Linked DNA regions of Stegostoma tigrinum. The protein of the gene in region 2 interacts with the protein of the main gene of each other region in a pairwise test. Links are inferred from orthologs where the notes say so. Each region holds a gene or a part of one and is shown on either strand. Other genes may lie near its edges.

Region 1 (11,253 bases), on a different chromosome or scaffold from region 2:
AGAATTTAGTAATAGTTATGAATCGGGGGTGAGAGACAGAGAGGAACCTAATAAAATTACTATCTTGAGGGAAGCAGGACTAAGTTGAATACATGAGTCAGGATATCATGTTGCAGAATTATAAGACTTTGGTTAGGTCACACTTAGAGGATTACATTCGGTTCTGGTTGCCACATTACAGGAAGGATGTGGAGGATTTGGAGAGGGTACAGAAGAGGTTTACCAGGATGCTGCCTGGATTAGAGGGTATGAGCTGGAAGGAGAGGCTAGAAAAGCTAGGGTCACTTTTTCTGGAATGGTGGAGGCTATAGGGTTGATGGTTAGATCTTTTTCCCAGAGTTGAAATGTCTATAACTAGGGGCATGTATTTAAGGTGAGAAGGGGAAAGTTCGAAAGAGATGTGAAGGACAAGTTTTTTTTCACAGAGTGGAAGGAGCCGAGAATGCGCTGTCGGGCTGATAATGGAGGCATGTACGATAGGGATGTTTAAGAGACTTAGATAAGCACATGAATATGCAAGGAATGGAGGGCTATGGACCAAGGGAAGCGGAAGGGATTAGTTTAGTTTGGCATCATGTTTGGCACAGCATTGTGGGCCGAAGAGCCCATCCCTGTATTGTATTGTTCTATGTTCTAAACTGATGGAGCTGGTGCCTGACAAATCTCTGGGTCCAGTGGGGCTTTAGCCTACAGTTTTACAAGAGATGGCTAATGAGGTTGTATGTGCCTTAATGTTAGTTTTCCCAAAATTCTTTAGATTCAGAAAAGGTTCCTTTGAACCGGAACATAATAAACATAACACCTTTATGTAAGAAGAGGGAAGCAGAAAACAATAAACCAAATGGATTGACATCTAGAAAAATGTTAAAGCCGATCATTAAAGGCATTTTAGTTGCACAGTTAGGAAAGCTTGGGGTAATTGTGGATGGGCCAGCATGGTTTGGTAAAAGAAAAATCATGTTTAACCAATTTATTAAAGTCTTTGAAGGAGAAACATGGATACAGAGAAGTCTGTAGACATACTGTACATTGATTTCCAGAATGAAAGGTGCCACATGAAAGATTATTGCTGAAAATAGAAACTCATAGAATTGGAGTAGCATTTGAGAATGGATACAGTCAAAAGCTAAACAGGTTGGATTGGAAATTCGAAAATGACAGGTGATCTCATTGAAACACATAGGTTTCTTAAAGGGCTTAACTGGGTAAATTCTCAGGAAATGCTTCCCGTCATGGAGAGCCTAGGCTTGGCAGGCATTGTCTTAATGTAAAGTCTGCCAATTTAAGATTGAGATAAGGATGAATTTCTTCTCTCAGTGGGTTGTCACTTTCTGTAACCCCTCACCACAGCCAGCTGTGGGGGCAGAGTCCTGTATACATTTCAGTTCTCGAGCACCCTTTTCCTCGGGTGGCTGAAGGCTGTGCTAGCACACTAGAGGTGATGCCAGATCTTTTCATCAATAGTTGATTTGGCTGACTGGACGCTTCAAAGGTGTTGGAAGTGGTCAGTGTTCTCTAAGGCCTCCCCAGGGGCCAGGATGATTCAGGGTTCACTCCACAATTCCAAGCCAAGTTGATGGAGGACCTTCAACTTGCGGATATTCAAAGTGAGCGCCATGCTCTCATTTAGCCTCCATAAAGATGTTGATGATGGTCTGGAGTTCTTCCTCTGAGTTTGCACATATGCAAGCATCATCTGTGTACTACAGCTCAATGACACTGGTTGGGGTGACTTTCGTTTTGGCTTGAAGGTGGTGGCGGTTGAATAATTTCTCGCTGGTTTTGTAGGTTAGCTCCACTGTAGCAGGGACCTTGTCAGTGCTGAGGTGAAGAACTGCAGTGAAGTAGAACAGGAACAGTGTTAGGACGATGATACAGCCCTGCTTTACACTGGTCTGAATGGGAAATGGATCGATGGTGGAGCCATACATCATTACCATGACTTCCATGTTGTTGTGGAGCAGGCAAAGGATGGTGACAAACTTCATGGTGCAATCAAAGCAGAGAAGGACGCTCCATAATGCTAAGATAACAAAATGTGAGGCTGGATGAACACAGCAGGCCAAGCAGCATCCCAGGAGCACAAAAGCCGACGCCTCGGGCCTAGACCCTTCATCTCTGATGAAGGGTCTAGGCCCGAGGCGTCGGCTTTTGTGCTCCTGGGATGCTGCTTGGCCTGCTGTGTTCATCCAGCCTCACATTTTGTTATCTTGGAATTCTCCAGCATCTGCAGTTCCCATTATCTCGCTCCATAATGCTTCCTGGTTGATGGTGTCAAATGTCTTTGTGAGCTTTGTAAAGGGTGCACTAACATCAGATCCGACACCAAGGCTATGGTATACAAAGCTGTGGTAGTTCTTGCTCACCTATACGGCTTTGAGACATGGTCTGTCTACAGCAGACGCCTCAACACCGCCTGCGCAAGATTCTGCAAATCCACTGGGAAGGCAGATACACCAACACCAAGACCAACATCTCCAGCATTGAGGCACTGACCATCCTTGATCAGCTGAGCTGGGATGGGCACATCGTCCGAATGACTGACACAAGACTCCCCAGGCAGCTGCTCTACTCCCAGCTACAATACGGTAGGCAAGCCCCATGTGGGCAGAGGAAGAGCTTCAGTGATACACTCAAGGCTTCCCTGCTGAAGTGCGGCCTTCCCACAGATACCTGGGAATCACTGGCCCAAGACCATCCAAAGTGGAGGAGGAGCATTTGGCCGAGCACCTTGACTACTTGCCATCAAGTTAAAATGGAAGCCTGGTGAAAACAGCAAAAGGAACGGGCTACCACCACACCAATGCACTACCCACCCCTTCCTGTGACCACCACCTGCTCCAAGTGTCACAGAACCTGGGTAGCTGCATCAGTCTGTACTGCTACTTCTGGACTCACCCTGACAGTGAGAGAGAGTCATCCTTGTCTGTGAGAGATCACTGATGATGATGATATTTAAGACTGAGACAGATTCTTGATCAGTAAGGGAATCAAGAGTTAGAAGGAAAGTGCAAGAAAGTGGAATGTGAGCCATGAATCTACTGAATTGTAGAGCAGGTTTGAGAGGCTAAGCGTCCTACTCCTGTTCCTATTTCTTATGGTTTTAAGATTGTCCGGCTGCCAGATAACAGAGAGCATGCAGAAAATCAGACTGGTAGGAGATACTGAGTGGAGTCCTGTAGGGAAGTGAAGACTTTGTAGCTAACCTTGCAGATAATACCAGGGTAGGTGGGAAAATACATTGTGAAGAAGATATAAAGATGTGGATCAATGTAGATATTTGAGTGAGAGCAAACATCTGGCAAATCAAGAAAATATAGGAAAATGTAAAGTTCTTCATGTTGGCAGGGAAAATGAAAAAGCAGATTGCTACTTAAATGGAGAACAACTGTGGAATTCTGAGGTGCAGTTTAATTTAGGAGTTTAAATGCATGAGTCACAAAAAGTTAGTAAACAGTACGGCATGTAGTTAAGAAAACTAATGGGATACTATCCTTTATTATGAGATGAATTGAAGATAAAACAAGGAAGTTAAATCATATAGGGTGTTTTTGAGACCACATCTGAAATACTGTGTGCAGATTTGGTCTACTTATTTAAGGCGGAAAGTAAAGGCATTGGAGGCAATTCATTGGAGAATTAGGGTGAGAGATGCAGTGGCTTTTGTTAAGATTCATCCAGAGTAGTTTCACAATGTAGTACTCTGTGCTCCATGGGCTGCTCCCTGGGTGCATATAAACACCGTCATCAACTTGGAACCTTCAACATAGTGGAAGACGCTCTTTGGTCTCCCCAAAATCTGTTCGCCTTCCAGTGCAATGAGTTGTCGTCAACTTAGTGACGAAGATTTGTACAATCCAACATCCAGGACTGCATGCTGAAGGATGTACTAAAGTTTGGGCCAGCTGCTGGAGAAAAGTCAACATCTAAGGCCTTTGTGCCATAAAGCATTAAAATCAGGGTCCCCCTATTTAAAACAAAGATGGGGCTTTTTTTTGACTCTCGATGAGTTGTAGGTTTTTGGAACTCTTTTCCTGAAAGGGTGGTGGAAATATAATCCTTGAATATATTTTAGGCATATTTGGATCAATTCTTGATTTTTATATAGAATTCCTGCAGTATGGAAACAGGCCATTTGGCCCACCAGCCATTTGAAGAGCATCTCACCCAGACCCAGCTGCCTACCCTTTCATTGTAGCTCTGTATTTCCAATGGCTGATGCACCTAACTTACACATTGCTGAACACTACAGGCAATTTAGCATGCCCAGTCCACCTGGCTTTCACATTTTTGGACTGTGGGAGGTAACTGGAGCACCCTGCAGAAACCCAAGCAGGCACGGGAAGAACAGCAAACTCCAAGCAATTACCCAAGGGTGGAATCAAAACCAAGTCCCTTGTGCTGTGATAATAAAATGTGAGGCTGGACGAACACAGCAGGCCAAGCAGCATCTCAGGAGCACAAAAGCTGACGTTTCGGGCCTAGACCCTTCATCAGAGAGGGGGATGGGGGGAGGGAACTGGAATAAATAGGGAGAGAGGGGGAGGCGGACCGAAGATGGAGAGTAAAGAAGATAGGTGGAGAGAGTGTAGGTGGGGAGGTAGGGAGGGGATAGGTCAGTCCAGGGAAGACGGACAGGTCAAGGAGGTGGGATGAGGTTAGTGGGTAGCGGGGGGTGTGGCTTGGGGTGGGAGGAAGGGATGGGTGAGAGGAAGAACCGGTTAGGGAGGCAGAGACATGTTGGACTGGTTTTGGGATGCAATGGGTGGGGGGGAAGAGCTGGGCTGGTTGTGTGGTGCAGTGGGGGGAGGGGACGAACTGGGCTGGTTGAGGGATGCAGTCGGGGAAGGGGAGATTTTGAAACTGGTGAAGTCCACATTGATACCATATGGCTGCAGGGTTCCCAGGCGGAATATGAGTTGCTGTTCCTGCAACCTTCGGGTGGCATCATTGTGGCAGTGCAGGAGGCCCATGATGGACATGTCATCAAGAGAATGGGAGGGGGAGTGGAAATGGTTTGCGACTGGGAGGTGCAGTTGTTTTATGCGAACTGAGCGGAGGTGTTCTGCAAAGCGGTCCCCAAGCCTCCGCTTGGTTTCCCCAATGTAGAGGAAGCCGCACCGGGTACAGTGGATGCAGTATACCACATTGGCAGATGTGCAGGTGAACCTCTGCTTAATGTGGAATGTCATCTTGGGGCCTGGGATGGGGGTGAGGGAGGAGGTGTGGGGACAAGTGTAGCATTTCCTGCGGTTGCAGGGTGAGGTGAGGTAGGAGTGCTAGCCACAGAGTTAAACTTGCCACTTGTTGGGCAAGGATTATCAGTGGTAGGCAAGGGCATGGATTTGAGATTAAGATCAGATCAACCATGATCTTATTGAATGGTGGAGCAGTTGTGATGGGCAGATAAGCCTACTCTTTCTCCTGGTTTGACAGTTTGCATGCACTATTCAAGTCTAAATGCAGACTGTGTTTCACCAATTTCTTCTTCCAATGGGTGGTTATTTATACCTATCGTCATTTTCAAGATCACGTAAAGTAGTAAACTTGTTTAAAAATGATTGCACACCTATCTTCTTTTCTCTCCATCTTCGGTCCGCCTCCCCCTCTCTCCCTATTTATTCCAGAACCCTCTCCCCATCCCCCTCTGTGATGAAGGGTCTAGGCCCGAAACGTCAGCTTTTGTGCTCCTGAGATGCTGCTGGGCCTGCTGTGTTCATCCAGCCTCACATTTTATTATATTGCACTCCATTGCGTTAGGTTTCTTTGGTATCTTGACCAATAAACGTCAAGTCAGTTGGAACGTATCCTTTGGTATATATTTCATTATAAATTTCCATTGTCACTACTAGTTCTGTTTCAAGGGTTGAGTAGCTTCTTTCCTCATTGTATGATGATGTAGAAGTAACTTTAGAAAGGGAAATTGGATAGTTTGAAAAAGAGTAACATTTTTAAGAACCCTAGATACTGTCTTGAAGGCGCTATCTAATTACAGGTTGTTGTTGGCACCCCCGGTTTCGTCATTGGTTACGTGCAAGGGCGGGGTCGGTTGGGTCACGTGACTGGGTGACGTTGCGGTTTTGGTGGATCAGTTTTTTCTGCGTCGAGCCGATTCATAAACAAACGTCGCGAGCTGGTCACCTGGTCAGAGCGCTAGTTAACTGCTAGTTAACTGGTTTAATCGCCACCTCTCCATTCACTATCCCCCTCAGCTTTCGTTACCGCATCCAGAATGGAAGCGGATCCACAGGGTAAGAACTAATAGAGCCCGAAACTACAATATATCAAACTGTTCGTGAGCAGGGACTCGGAGGGAGGAGAGGGATCGGGGAGAGAGATCGGGGGGAGAGGGATCGGGATCAGGGAGAGAAGGATCGAGGGAGAGGGATCGGGGGAGAGGGATCGGGGAGAGAGGGATCGAGAGGGAGTGGGATCTGGGGAGAGGGAGCGGGATCAGGGAGAGAAGGATCGAGGGAGAGGGATCGGGGGAGAGGGTTCGGGGAGAGAGGGATCGAGAGGGAGTGGGATCAGGGGGAGAAGGATCGAGGGAAAGGGATCGAGAGGGAGCGGGATCAGGGAGAGAAGGATCGAGAGGGAGAGGGATCGAGGAGAGGGATCGAGAGGAGGAGGATGATGAGAGGGAGTGGGAGGAGGTCGAGGATGAGGAGAGGGAGCGGGAGGAGGTCGAGGATGAGGAGAGGGAGCGGGAGGTGGATGAGGAGAGGGAGCAGGAGGAGGATGAGGAGAGGGAGCAGGAGGAGGAGGATGATGAGAGGGAGCGGGAGGTGGTCGAGGATGAGGAGAGGGAGCGGGAGGTGGATGAGGAGAGGGAGCGGGAGGTGGATGAGGAGAGGGAGCAGGAGGAGGAGGATGATGAGAGGGAGCGGGAGGAGGTCGAGGATGAGAGGGAGCGGGAGGAGGTCGAGGATGAGGGGAGGGAGCAGGAGGAGGTCAAGGATGAGGAGAGGAAGCGGGAGGAGGAGGATGATGAGAGGGAGCGGGAGGAGGTCGAGGATGAGAGGGAGCGGGAGGACGAGGATGTGGAGAGGGAGTGAGAGGAGGACGAGGATGAGGAGGGGGAGCGGGAAGAAGAGGAGGAGGTTGAGGAGGGAGAGCGAGAGGAGGAGGAGGAGAGGGGGCGGGAAGAAGAGGAGGAGAGGGAGGTGGAGCAGAGGGAGCGGGAAGAAGAGGAGGAGGAGAGGGAGCGGAAACAGAGAAGGACGAGGAGGAGAGGGAGTGGGAGGAGGAATAGGAGTGAGATGTGGAGAGAGAGAGAGGAGGAGGAGGATGGGGAGGGGGAGCGAGAGGAGGAGGAGTGGGGACTGGGTAAGGAGCGATGGGGGAAGAGGAGTGTTGACCAGGGAAGGAGGAGGAATGGGAGTGAGATGTGGAGAGGGAGGGAGAGGAGGAGGAGGAGGATGGGAAGAGGGGGCGAGAGGAGGAGGAATGGGGGCTGGGTAAGGAGTGATGGGGGAAGAGGAGTGTTGACCAGGGAGGGGGTTGGTGGAGGAAGAGGAGGGGTGGTTGGTGCAGAAGAAGTGGAGGGCTGGTGGTGCGAACCAAGTGAGGGATTGGGACTGCAGCCCGGCCAGTGGCCTCCACTTCAAGGCAAGCATCCTACCCCACTGCAATAACAGAGGCCGTTCTGGATCAACATTAGGTTTCCTTCAAACTTCTGTTTGATTTTCTTCTTCACCTCCTCTCCCTCAGTCTCTCCACTTGCATTACTGTGTGGTGAACCTGTTGTCACCTCCACCGTTTCTCTCTACAGATGCCCCTGTGTTTTATTGAGAGATGCGTGCTGACATTGGGGGCAGTGTTTCTTGGAATGTATTTGTCTCCCAGTCAAATAATGGGCATCTTATCCTGCGTTTTAGTATTTATATTGTAACAAGCATGTTGCTAATTAGATGTGTTGCTGCTGTCAATGTGCTGTGTAACTACGTTAAATGTGCATTTGACACAAAAAGTCTCTGTAACCTTGTACAATTGTTGTAACCGTATTCCCTCCTTTGCGAGGAGTGTTTTTAAATCTCAACTCTGAGTTAAATTGTAAAGTTTTCCCCCATACTTTGCTGCACCAATATGACTTTTTCACTGATTAACAGTGATAATTTAAACTTGCTAGTTTCCAGATGGAGCTCGCTATTTGTGTTGAACTCAAATGAGGCCAATGTGTTTCGTTATCAATATGACTGTCCTAGTTGTACTGTAAGCTGTTACTGTCCAAATTAAGCAAGAGACGTACAGTCTGTAAAGACTGAGCATTAAACCTTGTTCATAATGCAGTTTGATCAGTCATTGTAACTAGATACCTTTTAATTTTGAACACACATGGTGGTGAGGATCCTAGGGTGATAGATTTACTGTAACTTGCCCCAAATTGCCCTTGACAAGCATGAAGGTAGATCATGCATACTAATTGATTGTGAGGAGCAGTTGAGCTAAATCTTGTTGCCTCCCACCATCTAACTCCCACTTTCCACCATAGGTGGATACTGATGAGGATTCTTAGGTAATTATTTTCCTTCTCTCCCATTCCTCCCACTCTTTGCATAAGCTTGGAGGTAGTCAATACCAGTTCTAACCTCCTCCCTTCCTGTAACCTCTACATTTTGGTTAAGTGTGAATCCAACATTCCGACTTGGAATGGTCTAATCAACGCCACACATGGTTTTCTGTTTCGTCATGCAGTTTGGGAAGGAGAAAATTGTTAACTAGCTTCAGGGTAGGTGAGAATTGTGACATGTGACAGCACTGATCGAGGATAGTCAACCTATCGTGCCTGTGTTGGGGTAAATCTGTTGAATGTTGTTGAAACCTGCATGATGTAAAGGACTCAATCTTTCAGGATACACTTGCAAAGCGATGCGCACAGGGAACTATTCAGAGTTATCTAATTGGGTATTGTTGTGCTCTTTAATCTGTGTTCCTGTGGCCTTCAAATGTTCATTGTCTTCGTGCTGACAGTGTAACTATTTTTGCAGGATTCTCTGAAATGATCTCATGGCAAACTTTACAAAAGGCTAAAATGTTTGGTGTAGTTAATTTAGTTTTCATGTTTTTCTGCTGCTGACTTGTGGGATTTATTTAACATTCCAGGCTGACCATAAATGCCATAAAATTGCATTGTTGCATTCTCCACTATGGAGTTTTCTGAGATTGTTGCACCGTCATTCAGGTTTCTTCATACACACTCTCAGCAGCTCAATTTTGACAAGTTTCACATTGTTTTCCTGGAAAATCTACACTACGAGGGCATCATTCTTTTGGCAAGTGGTTCATGTGTTACCTGTTGTCATCCTTTGCTATACTGTTCTCCATTACTGTAAGTTCAGGGTTTACCTTTGGAAGGCCAGTGGCAATCCCAACTGACAACTGACTGATTACTCATTTGCTTATTGTTTTGGGACCTAAATGATGGTGCATATAAGATATGGTTTTTGCTTCCATCCCTTACAAATGAAAATACTCATCAGCCTGTTTTTAAAATAATTTGAGTAGCATGCATCCTGTTTCCGTGCATTTGTCAAGTGACCAGCTGCCTATATGAACCTCCATTCTTTGTTTTTCAAATGCAATTTGCTTTCTTCTTCCTCCAAAGTAATCCAGTCAAGAATACATTCAGCCAAGGACAGTGTGCACTTTAACCTCTTGCAACGTACTATATTTGCAAATACAGCTAGCCAAGTATATTAACTTGGCATCCAACTTGCAATTACCAATTGACACATAATTTGTGAAGTGTAGGTACAAACTGATGAGCCATTTCCTAGGATCAGATGGGTTTCCTGTATTTTTTTCTCTTTCCTGAACATATGTGAAAAGTAATTCCCATGATTTCATTTCCTCTTAGTAGTTATCCTCACAATCACTTTAATGTATAAAATTTTAATGTTTATCTTTAGATTCTTTCCCTCAACAGCAGTGTATTCTAATACCTTTGTTTACTGACTCTTATTTTTATACTGTAATTGTTTCATATTGGGCGTGTGGGATTGGTATTGGAGTAGGAGTCAGGGAGGGAAGAGACAGAAATTACTAATCAGTGACTATTGGCAGCCTCATAATGATTTGGACTGTGGTGCTGTCACAGATGAAGTGTCCAGTTCCATCCCTCGCTTAAACCTGTGAATGAATTTCCTGTTGAACTGAAGCCCAAATTGTAATGTTGTTTTCTGGTAGATTTGTGCAAAGATACATGTTTGTCGCGTCCACACTTATATTATCAACATGCTTGACATATGAGTGACCTGTTGGTATCCACACAGATTAATACTTTACAACATGCCATCTTGAATTGCTGCAAATTGTAATTTTGCCTGAGTAATATTGTACTTCTGAAAATTTTTAGTTTAATCTAATATTATAAAATACTTACACTGCAGTGAGAAGAGGCAGCATTTGGAAACTGATCTAAGATGTGCTTTTCAAGAGAAGTTATGTTGACTGCTGGTTTGTTTTGCTTTTGGGGTTAAACTTATTTCATCAGTGGAAGAATCCATGGTATTTTATTTTTATAGAGTTGGCAGGCATCTAAAACTAAGATTAATTTACCAAAAAAGAAGGCATATATTTTTCTTGTGTCTGCACAAGCAACATGAGTTGAGCTTTTGGCACTATTTAACGAGGGAAGAAGATGTTTTTCAAGAAATAGTGTAGTCTTAAATAGTTGAAAGAGACATGCAAGTACAGAAGGCAATTGTGGCGGGCTAGGTGTCATATTAAGAAACTTGGGGAGTCTCACATTTGATGGCAGGATGGAATAACTGCAAAGTATATCGAAATGGGTGAGATATAGATGTTTAGCATTTATGGTCCATCTGTGATAAAGTGAGAGAAGGTGGAGACAACAGCTTACTAGGCTATTTCAGAGGGCATTTAAGAGTCAAGGACAAAACAGAAATTACTAGAAAAAGCCAGCAGGTCTGACAACATCTCCACAGAGTTTTTGTGTTAGATTTCCAACAAGAGTCAGTCAAATCGAAACGTTACCTCTGATTTCTCTCCACAGATGCTGCCAGAGCTGCTGAATTTTTCCAACAATTTCTGTTTTTGTTTCTGATTTACAGCATCTGCAGTTCTTTGTTTTATGAGTCAAGTGCATTTGAAATAGGTCTGGAGTCACATATAGGCCAGATCAGATTTCCTTTTCTGAAGTGTATTAGGGAATCTGGATTTTTTTTAATGAAAATCTTGTGGCAGCTTTTTCCTACAGATTTATTTAATTAACTGAGGTTAAATTTTTCACCT
Region 2 (11,118 bases):
ATATATACATACTCAGAAATGAGAAAGACATAGTCACCAGAATTTCCACAGACGTTGGTTCAGCAGCAAAGTATTATGTGGAATTGGCGCAGTGAGGTGCACCCAGTAATTGGATGAGTATAAATTAGCAATTCACTGTCATTTACGAAAGTTGTTCCCAATGGATGGTAAATGGGGAATGAAGAAACAGAGAATTCAGACTCTCATTGAATAACCAAGATGGAAGAAAGAATCAGCTACTTTTAGTTCTGAAGAAGGGTTATTGGATCTGAAACATTCACTCTGCATTTTCTCCACTGATACTGCCAGGCCTGTTGAATTTTTCCAGCAATTTCTGTATTATTTCTGCTTTCCAAAATCAACAATTCTTTGTTTTATGTTATTATGGAAGGAAGAAGGATCATTTTTACATTGGCCACAATTTGGGATTTTTCACCACAAGTGGTTAATCAGTTGCAGAGAAGACCATTAAAATGGAATTGACATAAATGTTTAAAGAGTCCAGGGGAATGTAAGTTCAGGAAAGAGTCTCAATACAGGTACAGGTACCAGTAGGGTTGAAGTCAAGAGGATAATAGCCTCTCCTGCAAAGAAATTTGTATCACTCAATTAAAAATTCTCTTTTATCCAGACAGAGCCGAGGGAATGGCTTAGAAATATTGTTGCTGAGCTGAGTTTGGGGCAATTGCCATTGAGAAGTGTCACAAAGAAAGAGCTTATTGGCCTTTGTGTAGTCACTGGGTTTGGTTCCAGACGTTATAAGTGGTTAGCACTGCTGCCTCACAAGGCTAGGGACCCAGACTCGATTCCACCCTCGGGCCACCGTCTGTGTGGAGTTTGCACACTCTCCCCATGTCTGTATGGGTTTCCTCCAGGTTCTCCGGTTTCTTCCCATAATACAACGATGTGCAGGTTAGTTGGATTGGCCATGCTAAATTGCCCATAATGTTCAGGGATGCGTCAATTAAGTGGGTTATAGGGGGATGGGTCTGTGTGGGATCCTCTGAGGATCGGTGTGGACTTATTGCAGTGAAGGGCCTGTTTCCACACTCTTGGGATTCTATGATTCTGTGTGTAACCTAAGTATAAATTGACTATGAGAAATAACATTCTACCTTTTGATTTGGACTTTTAATCTTCCGAACTTTGTTTTCCCTGTATATGTTCTCCCACTTGGTGTATCTGTGGCAAGCTATGCGTCTTTTATCTGTCTTAATACCGAATCAATACATTATTTGTTTTTTTTTAAGGCTGAAAGTGGATTAGAAATACTTTTTCTTTCCCCTGACTTTTGCCAGTGTGATTACAATGAAGAGTTATTCTCTGCTTATGACAAAATTTAGTGTAGACTTCTATTCTCCTGAATGGCAGGCTGACAAGGAAATTGCTGATTTTCATGATCTAACTAGAATTTTATGCATTTTAGCACAACTTGGGAAATAGTAGGATCCAATTATCGTGTACTTTTCCCACTTCAGTCATGACACTGGTTGGTTCAGAAGCAATTGCTGCTGTGAATTCATTCATGTCATTGCTAAACTGATGTTCGTACAATTTTGTTTTATTAGAGTCACTGGTAAAATCAATACCTGCAATGTTTGCTGTCTTTTGTGAATTTCTCCCTCTTCTGTGCTCCCCCACATGTCTTGCTTACAGATGACTCCTTGGTTTGGACAACCACTCACATAATAACGACTGACATGAACATTTAATCACGAAGAGCCCCATCTCTTTGATACAAACTAAACACATTTGACAGATGTCACATGGCCAAATTTCTGGGAATATCTCTAAACAGAGTTTGCAATTCTCTTTAAAAGATGTAATAGCAACTAACTCAACTAATTTCAGTGTCAATGTAACCCTTGCTTCAACAACATTGCATTTTGGTATTTATTTTCCACTTCCCCACATTTGTGGCAATAATTGCAAATTAATTTCATCATTAACACCCTCGTGAAAAACAATTGTTTCAATTATGAGGTTTAGTCAATTTTTATGTTTTGGGACCATGTCATTAAATTTAAGGCACAATGAAGGTAGTTGCGTGACCAGTTCTGAAATCTGTCTATCGGTCAGAGTGGGTGGTTCGATCATTAAATCAAAGAAGGGGTCACATTGTTTTAACGGGAACAGGCACAGGGAATTTAAACTTGGAGGCAATGGCAGCAGCCTCTGCTTTTCTGTGGGTACGTTCGTGCCTGGGTATTCTTGAAGAAGGAGCACAAGGTGTTCACCAATACTCTTGAGCCTTTAGAGAGAGCTGGGCACCACAACAGGTAGACTGTTTTATTTCCCCATTCAACTCCATTATAATTTAGCCTCCAGCCCCACTACCTCAACTTTGGTGGTCTGAATTGACGTCAATGGACTTTGTGTGTAAATTATTCAATTGGAAAACGAGGGTGATTTACTGATGGTGGTTAATATCCTTAAAAAAAGGATGATTTAGTGATGGGGGAAAAATACATTCAGTTGTGAGTAACAGCATTTCTGGAATGAAAAGAATGGCAGCAGCATTTGCGTTAACATTGGAGACCGTAAATTGCCAAAACCTCAGAAAAATAGTGACAATGTCAGGTTTTAATTGATTGTGCTTTTAACTGTCCATTTATTTCCAAGTTCAAAGAAAATTGAGCTCTCAAAGATAGCTAGTGAGCATTTCTATCGAGGTAAATGACCCATGGGATTAACATTGTGATGGGGAGGGTTCAGAGGCAGCCAATGTAAAAATTGGATCACAGGTTTTCCGAGAATACCACTGAATAGCTGACAGTGTTTTGTGTCTATCTGGATGTGGAAGAGAAGGAGAAATTAGAGACTAAAAAGTTTCAATAGTTTGCACACAGGAGTGCAGAAAACTCGGATTTGTTTTCTTTATTCATTCATGCGATGGTCACTGGCTAGACCATCTTTTGTTGCCCATCGCTAGCTACCATAAGGGTGGTGGTGAGCTGTCTTTTTGAATCACTGCAGTGCATAGAATCCCTATAGTGTAGAAACAGGCCCTTTGGCCCAACAAGTCCACACTGACCCTCAAACATACCATCCAGATCCATCTCCCTATAAGCCACCAAATCTACAAATCTCTGAACACCATGGGGCAATTTAGCATGGCCAATCCACCTAGCCTGCACACCTTTGGACTGTGGGAGGAAACTGGAGCACCTCAAGGAAACCCACACAGACACAGGGAGAACGTGAAAACTCCACACAGACAGTCACCTGAGGGTGGAATCGAGCCCAAGTCCCTGGTGCTGTGAGGCAGCAGTGCTAGCCACTGTGCCACCCCATATGATGTAGGTAGACCCATAATGCAGTTAGGGAGGGTTACCCTCTTTCAGCTTGAGACAGAATCTCTGGGAAACTGAAACTTTACTGTGAAAAGCAGTTCTAAGTTTGCAAGTTAAGAGGCTGAGAAAAGTATGGGAATAAACCCTTGGGAGCTAAGATTTTGGTAAAAAATAATTGCCTATTCAAAGAACAGTGTTGAAGTGTATTTTCACTAGGACTAAGAACGAGAAGGTCGGTTTGCTGTTCTGAGGGTGAAAATACAAGTTGCTGACAAAGATAGTGTTTAGTTAAAAATGTTTTTAAGTTACTTGTTGCAGTAAATCTTAAATATGACATCTTGACCTGTTGATCTTTCAGCTATTTAACTGGATGCTGAAATTTCTTTTTAAAATTTGTCTCTACAGAAATCAGAGCACAAAATATTCACATTCTTACATGTGGAAGACCTTTGAATACAGCAAGATGTTCAAACTGACTTCTTAAAATTATTAAACATCTAAAGGGAAATGGAGCCGTCATTGAAGAAAACTTGTTTTTGTTGCTGTAGACATCAGAAATAACTGGGTGCAAATAAGAGGAGGAAGATTGAGAAATATGCTCTGTTGGGTGACTGAAACCCAAGATGTGCTGCATGACCTTTTTCTAGATCACCTCAAGGCCAACAGCCAGAGTGAAAAGACATCTGCTGTAACAGTCCTTGCATCTATCACTATGGCCACTACTACTTGGTAATACTTGCTTAAACTCCTTGCTTTGTTGGTGTTAGCAAATACTGGTACAAAGAATTGTGGATATGAAGCTCCCTATACAGTAGGTTTTAACCAATACATTGGGATCTAGCAACATCACAACACCACATAATTCCAAAGTATTCATGACAAAACCTTCTGAATTTCAATATGAGAAATGAAATAGATATTCACAGGACATAATATTAAACAATTTAAAAGACAATTTATATTACATAAAGTCGTGAATTAAAGTATTTACATTTTTCAAACAGTTATCTCAATACAGTCATTAATTGTCAATTCACCCAGATGTAATTTTAACTTTTTTAAATGCAGAACATTATGATCCATTGCTTAGAAGTCTGTACAAAAATAATTTCATGTAAAGTTTCTGAGAAAACAGCCCTTATCAGACATGCAGCATTTCTCTTTTTAACCTAGGAACAATGAAATCCATTGACACAAACCTGTCCTTAAAAATTTACAATCAAGTGTACAAACACATGCAAATTTTAAAAAAAGACAAAAAATAAAAACAGATATTACATACCAAGGCTCCCAAGCTACTGGCACTCTCTGTAGCTGCATTAGTTAATGATATCATGTCAAAAAACACAGGAAGTTCTACCCAAACTGGTCAGAGCTACAAATAAATCAAGCGGAAGGGAGCATGCAATATCATCATCTTACAGACTGTGGCTGAAAGACTTTCCAAAAGCTGCTGCTCATATTCTTGACTGTATAATGGATCCCTTTAAATCACTCAAAATGATCTGACCTGCAATGATGTCATTTCAGATAAACAGATTACATGCGGAAGATGTGCATGTTTGTTCAGTCGTCTTAGAACCTACACAAGTTGCAAAGTTGCTCAGAAAAAGAAACCTTGTCTCCAACATAAAGTAAATAAGTGTGATTAAGTGCAGAAAGAAATTCTAACAACCACCCAGTTCTGGCTATCGTGGAGTTCCGGGCTGGTGAAATTAAAGCAGAGTTTGATAGACACATAGTGCAGACTTTGACAACCTAACTGACCAGAGCAACCACATGGCAAAACACCATATCTTAAAAACCCAATGCCGTTACTCAAACATTGATAATAATTTTAAAAAAGGATTAGCACATTTTGACAACATTTTAACCATTTTGTTGCTTGACTGATACTGTCTCACAATTATGTTGTCAATAAAATTTTAAAACATTACAAACAAATTACTGAATTATCAAAATGGGATTGATTGATCAAAATCAGGAGTTACACAAGTCACTAATGTGAGTTATATGCAGCTTCAGAAGGACAGGTTGCAGATCCCTGACATAATGAATCTCGTCAGCTCTCAATATTATCCTGGAAGTAAAGGCCTTGATCTTCTAAGAAGAGAACTGTTATTGCAGCAGTGGTGACTGGTTTTGTACATCGCGACTACATGGAAGGCCTGAAAGTGCTGGGCTCCTTTGGGAATTGCATTAGAAGTTGAATTTCTGGATGCGCAATTACCCAGTACCCCAAAGCCTCCAAAAAAGGCCCAAACTCAAAGTTAGAGTCAAACACATTGAAAGGTTCTGACTGACTTAAACTTAATAGTCCTCCTGGAAAAATCCAACAACACCTTTGTCAAATCTGACCTGATCTCCTGACTCCTCTTGACTCGAAACACATCCCCACTGGAGACAAACTGGTCCCCAATCCACTCTGACTACAGTAAGCATCTACATACTTGCCATCCAATTGCCTCACCTATCTGGCATCCCTTTCCTTCATACTCACATAACTGGCACTACACCCACTCATGCACTTGTCATCCTATCTCACACCTGCTTTGGCAGCCTATTCCCTAAAGCACCTGTCACCTGGCACACTACCTCCTTACTTTCGAGTGGTTGAAAAAGAGGGCAAGTTGAACAAGTTATTTTACTTCTTACACAAGACTAAGAGCATTCATCTCTCATAGCTGAATGAAATGCTAGCAATAATTGTTCAGGGTTTCCAGGAATTAGATTAATTTCCTGCATGCTGCAGCAAGTAACTCAGGAGAAAAAGTACTTAGACAGATGAATTTGGTACCATTTGCTACCAAAATGCTTTGTCTGTCACCAGTGCATGGAGCAAAAGGCAGGAAGGTGAACAAGGAGTGATAACGCAGAAAATCTCGGAAATTATACTTCAAATTTATAATACAAATTTCTCAACAAGATCTGGATGTAATCTGTTCAAAATTTCAAGTCAAAGAGTTTATTTTCTATTTATGTAAATATCTATAAAGGTCAATGTTTCACAGCTGTCTACTACAGCTACTATAGATGAAGTTGCATATAAAAAGCAACCTCCCCATTTCCCTTAGTAATTACTTCCACATACTGCGAACACATTACAATAATAGAGCTAAAGATGAGTTGATCTCTCCCCAAGATAACATGGTATAGAGCTGGATGAACACATGGGGCCAAGCATCATCAGAGGAGCAGGAAAGCTGACATTTTGAGTCTGGACCCTTCTTCTGAAATGAAGGAAGAGAAAGGGATTCTGAAATAAATAGAGAGAGAGGGGGAGGCTGATGGAGGATGGATAAAGGAGCAGATGGTTGGGGGTGGGGTCATGATCCAGGGGCCAGTAGGAGGAGTTGTCAAAGAGCTAGCATCTGGCCTCAGTGATGTGGAGGTAGCACCAAGCCCTGTTGGGTCTTCACCACCTCCGACCACCAAACCATCATCTCCCAAACCACCTACAACCTCATCGTGTTAGGTGACCTCCCACCCACAGCCTCCAACCTCATCGTTCCCCAACCCCACACCGCCCACTTCTATCTCATTCCCAAAATCCACAAACCTGACTGCCCTGGTCGACCCATTGTCTGTGCCTGCTCCTGCCCCACCAAAAGTATCTCCACCTATCTCGACTCCATTTTCTCCCCCTTGGTCCTGGAACTCTCTACATATATCCATGACACCACCCACATCCTCTACCTCCTCCAAAAATTCCGATTCCCTGGTCCCCACACCTCATCTTTACCATGGATGTCCAGTTGTACACTTGCATTCCCCATACAGATGTCTTAAAGGCCCTCTGCTTCTTCCTGACCTGCAGGCCCGACCAGTCCCCCTCCACTGACACACTTATCGGCTTGGCTGAACTTGTCCTCACCCTCAACAATTTCTCCTTCAATTCCTTCCACGTTTATAGACAAAGGGGGAAGCCATGGGTACCCGCATGGGCCCAAGCTATGTCTGCCTCTTTGTAGGATATGTGGAACGATCCCTCTTCCAAAGCTACACTAGCCCTATCCCCCACCTCTTCCTCCGTTACATCGATGACTGTATCAGTGCCGCCTCGTGCTCCCACAAGGAGCACAAACAGTTCATCCACTTCACTAATACCTTCCACCCCACCCTTAAGTTCACCTGGACCATTTCTGATACCTCTGTCTCTTTCCTGGACCTCTCTGCTTCCATTTCTGGCTATCACCTAGAAACCGATATCCATTTTAAGCCTATCAACTCCCACAGCTACCTAGATAACACCTCCTCTCACCCACCTTCCTGCAAAAATGCCATCCCCTATTCCCAATTCCTTCACCTCTGCCACATCTGGTCCCGTGGTGAGACATTCCACACCGCGACTTCCCGTCCATAGTGATCGAAAACGCCCTTCACCATGTCTCTTGCATTTCCTGCAACTCATCCTTCACAACCCCTCCCTGCAACAACTACCAAAACAGAATCTCCCTCAGCAATGCCACCTGAAGGTTGCAGGAACAGCACCTCATATTTCGCTTGGGAACCCTGCAACCCAATGGTATCAATGTGGATTTCATAAGCTTCAAAATCTCCCCTCCCCTGACCACATCCCCAACACCAGCCCACCTCAACCCCGCTTCCCTAACCTGTCTGTCCTTTTTCACACCTATCCAGTCCTCCAACCTCAAGCACCACCCCCATCTCCTACCTACCAGCATCATCCCACCTCCTTGACTTGTCTGTCCTCCCTGGACTGACCTATGCCGACCCTACCTCTCCACCTACACTCATCTTTACTGGCTCCATCCCTGCCTCTTTGGCCTGTCTGTGTCCTCTCTGCCTATCTGCTCCTTTATTCATCTTCCATCTGCCTCCCCCTCTTTCTGTATTTATTTCAGAATCCCCTTCTCCTCTCCATTTTTTGAAGAAGGGTTCAGACCCAAACGTCAGCTTTCCTGCTCCTCTGATGCTGCTTGGCCTGCTGTGTTCATCCAGCTCTACACCTTGTTATCTCAGATTCTCTAGCATTAGCAGTTCTTACTATCTCTGAATTGATCTCTACCCGTGTCTTATTTAAAAAATTGTCAGTCTTCTGCCAACTTTAAGGGCGTTTAAATGGTCATTGGGTAAACATATGGATGATAATGGAATAGTGTAGGTTAGATGGGCTTCAGATTGGTTTCACAGGTCAGCGCAACATCGAGGGCCGAAGGGCCTGTACTGCACTGTAATGTTCTATGTTCTATGTTCTTCTTCAATTCTGGTGAAATAAAAATTTCAGCAAAACAGGAATGTCTTTAAATTGTTGAGAACAAGAACAGTGATTAATATCAGGGCACAAATATCACATCATGATACAATTTGTATCAGATTAGTCAGGTTTGATAAATGCTTGCATGTTATTAATTTAGCCATTCCAGATTTGGAACTGCCTGTCTCTTTCACAAATAATATCGCCATATGTAATTTTCACATCTTTTTGTCGATTACCTGATGAATAGTTGCCCTCAATATTATTGTCTCAGCCACAAACAGCAACAATTTGTAAAAGAGAAACAAATTGTGAGTTAGTGATGGGAAGGATGAATGATAAACCATCCAAATTTTCGTGTTTTGTGCAGGGACAGAAACATAGAAAATTGGAGCAGAAATAGGCCACTTGTCTCTTTGAGCATGCTCTGGTAGTCAGTATGATCATAACTGATGATCCAGCTGAGAACCTTGATCTTGCATTCTCCCTAAATCCTTTGATTCCCTATCACCCTGCGAACTATATCCAACTCCTTCTCAAAAATATTCTGTGTTGTGGTCTCAACTACTTTCTGTAATAGAGAAGTCCATAGGTTCCACTCTCTGGGTGAAGAAAGTCCTCTTCATCTCTCTCCTCAACAGCCCATTCCATATTCTTAGGCTGTGATCCCCATTCTGGGCTCTATGGTTATTGGGGACATCCCTCCTCCATTTACCCTATATTGCCCTATGCAAATTTTACAAGTTTCTATGTGACACTATCCATTCTTCTAAACCCCAGTGGATACAACTTACCAAAACCACTCTCTCTTCGTACTTTAGACTGCCATCCCAGAAATCAGTCTGGTAACCATTGTCGCACTTGCTCCAAAGGCAGAATATCTTTGCCCAGATAAAGAAACTAAAACTGCACACATCACTCCAGGTGCAGTCTCAGCAAGGCCCTGCACTATTGCAGCAAAACATCCCTGCCCCGTTCTCAAATCCTCTTGCTATGAAGACTGACATATCACTTGCCTTCTTCACCACCTGCTGCATCTACAGGCTTACCTTCTGTGACTGGCGTAGAAAGACACCCTGCCTTATTGCATATTCCCTCTCTAAAATTGTAGCCATTCAGATAAAAATCCATGTTTCTGTTTTTGCTACCAAAGTGGAAAATCTCACATTTATCCACATTATACTTCATCTGCCATGCAGTTGTCCACTCACTCAACTGGTTCAAATGACACTGAACCATCTCTGCATTTTTTCACAGCTCACGCTCCCACCCAGCTTTGTTTCATCTGCAAACTTGGAGATATTACGTTTAATTCCTGCAACTAAATCTTTAACATATATAGTGAATATATGCCGTAGCCCACTAGCCACTGGCTGCCACTTGAAAAAAGACCTTTCCACTCCTATGAGATAATGAGAGGCATAGATAGAGTTGATAGCCAGAGACTATTTCCCAGGGCAGAAATGGCTAGCACGAGGGGTCATAGTTTTAAGCTGGTTGGTGGAAAGTATAGAGGGGATGTCAGAGGCGGGTTCTTTACACAGAGAGTTGTGAGAGCATGGAACGCGTTTCCAGCAGCAGTTGTGGAAGCAAGGTCATTGGGGTCATTTAAGAGACTGCTGGACATGCATATGGTCACAGAAATTTGAGGGTGCACACATGAGGATCAATGGTCGGCACAACATTGTGGGCTGAAGGGCCTGTTCTGTGCTGTACTGTTCTATGTTCTATGTTCTATGTTCTATGTTCTATAACAAGGTGTAGAGTTGAATGAACGCAGCAGGCCAAGCAGCATCAGAGGAACAGGAAGGCCGATATTATGGGCCTAGACCCTTCTTTGGAATTGGAGGAGGGGGAAGGGGTTTCTGAAATAAATAGGGAGGGGGGGAGGCAGATAGAAGATGGATAGTGGAGAAGATAGGTGGAGAGGAGACAGACAGGTCAAAGAGGCGGGAATGGAGCTGGTAAAGGTGAGCGTAGGTGGGGAGTTAGGTAGGAGATAGGTCAGTCCAGGGAGGACAGGCAGGTCAAGGGGGTGGGTTAAGGTTAGTAGGTCGGAGATGGGGGTGGGCCTTGAGGTGGGAGCAGGGGATAGGTGGGAGGAAGGACAGGTTAGGGAGACAGGGATGAGGTGGGCTGGTTTGGGGATGCAGTAGGAAGAGGGGAGATTTTGAAGCTTGGGAAGTCCACATTGATACCATTGGGCTGCAGGGTTCCCAAGCGGAATATGAGTTGCTGTTCCTGCAACCTTTGGGTGGCATTGTTGTGGCACTGCAGAAGGCCCAGGATGGACACATCGTCTGAGGAAAGGGAGGGGGAGTACATTCTGTGGTAGGGAGGCAGTTATGTAATCGTCATGTCACTGGACTAGTAATCCAGGGTCCTAAGCTAATTTTCAGGGGAATATAGGTTCAAATCCCACCTTGGCAGATGGTGGCGTTCAAATTCAATAAAAGGGTATGAAATTTTTAATTCAAACCTGGCCTAAAAATATTCATGTGACCAGCATCAATTTTAATGTCGTTCACTCGTGTCCTTTAGGGAAGGAAATATGTCCTCCTTACCTGATCTGGCCTACATGACTTTGAACTGCCCTCTTTAAATTAG

The links.
Region 1: the proteins of ipcef1 (region 2) and cytohesin-3 interact in binary tests that used the Homo sapiens proteins (3 or more experiments, as listed by UniProt). The link is inferred for Stegostoma tigrinum from reciprocal best matches to the Homo sapiens genes IPCEF1 and CYTH3.

Annotation. Positions count from the first base shown.
Region 1 is NC_081376.1:34,543,482-34,554,734, forward strand, and holds the start of cytohesin-3, read left to right. Parts: upstream 1-6,072; 5' UTR 6,073-6,232; coding exon 6,233-6,251; intron 6,252-11,253. UniProt on the Homo sapiens protein: Promotes guanine-nucleotide exchange on ARF1 and ARF6. Promotes the activation of ARF factors through replacement of GDP with GTP. Plays a role in the epithelial polarization.
Region 2 is NC_081362.1:38,133,682-38,144,799, forward strand, and holds the start of ipcef1 (interactor protein for cytohesin exchange factors 1), read right to left. Parts: upstream 4,656-11,118; 5' UTR 4,630-4,655; coding exon 4,576-4,629; intron 1-4,575. UniProt on the Homo sapiens protein: Enhances the promotion of guanine-nucleotide exchange by PSCD2 on ARF6 in a concentration-dependent manner.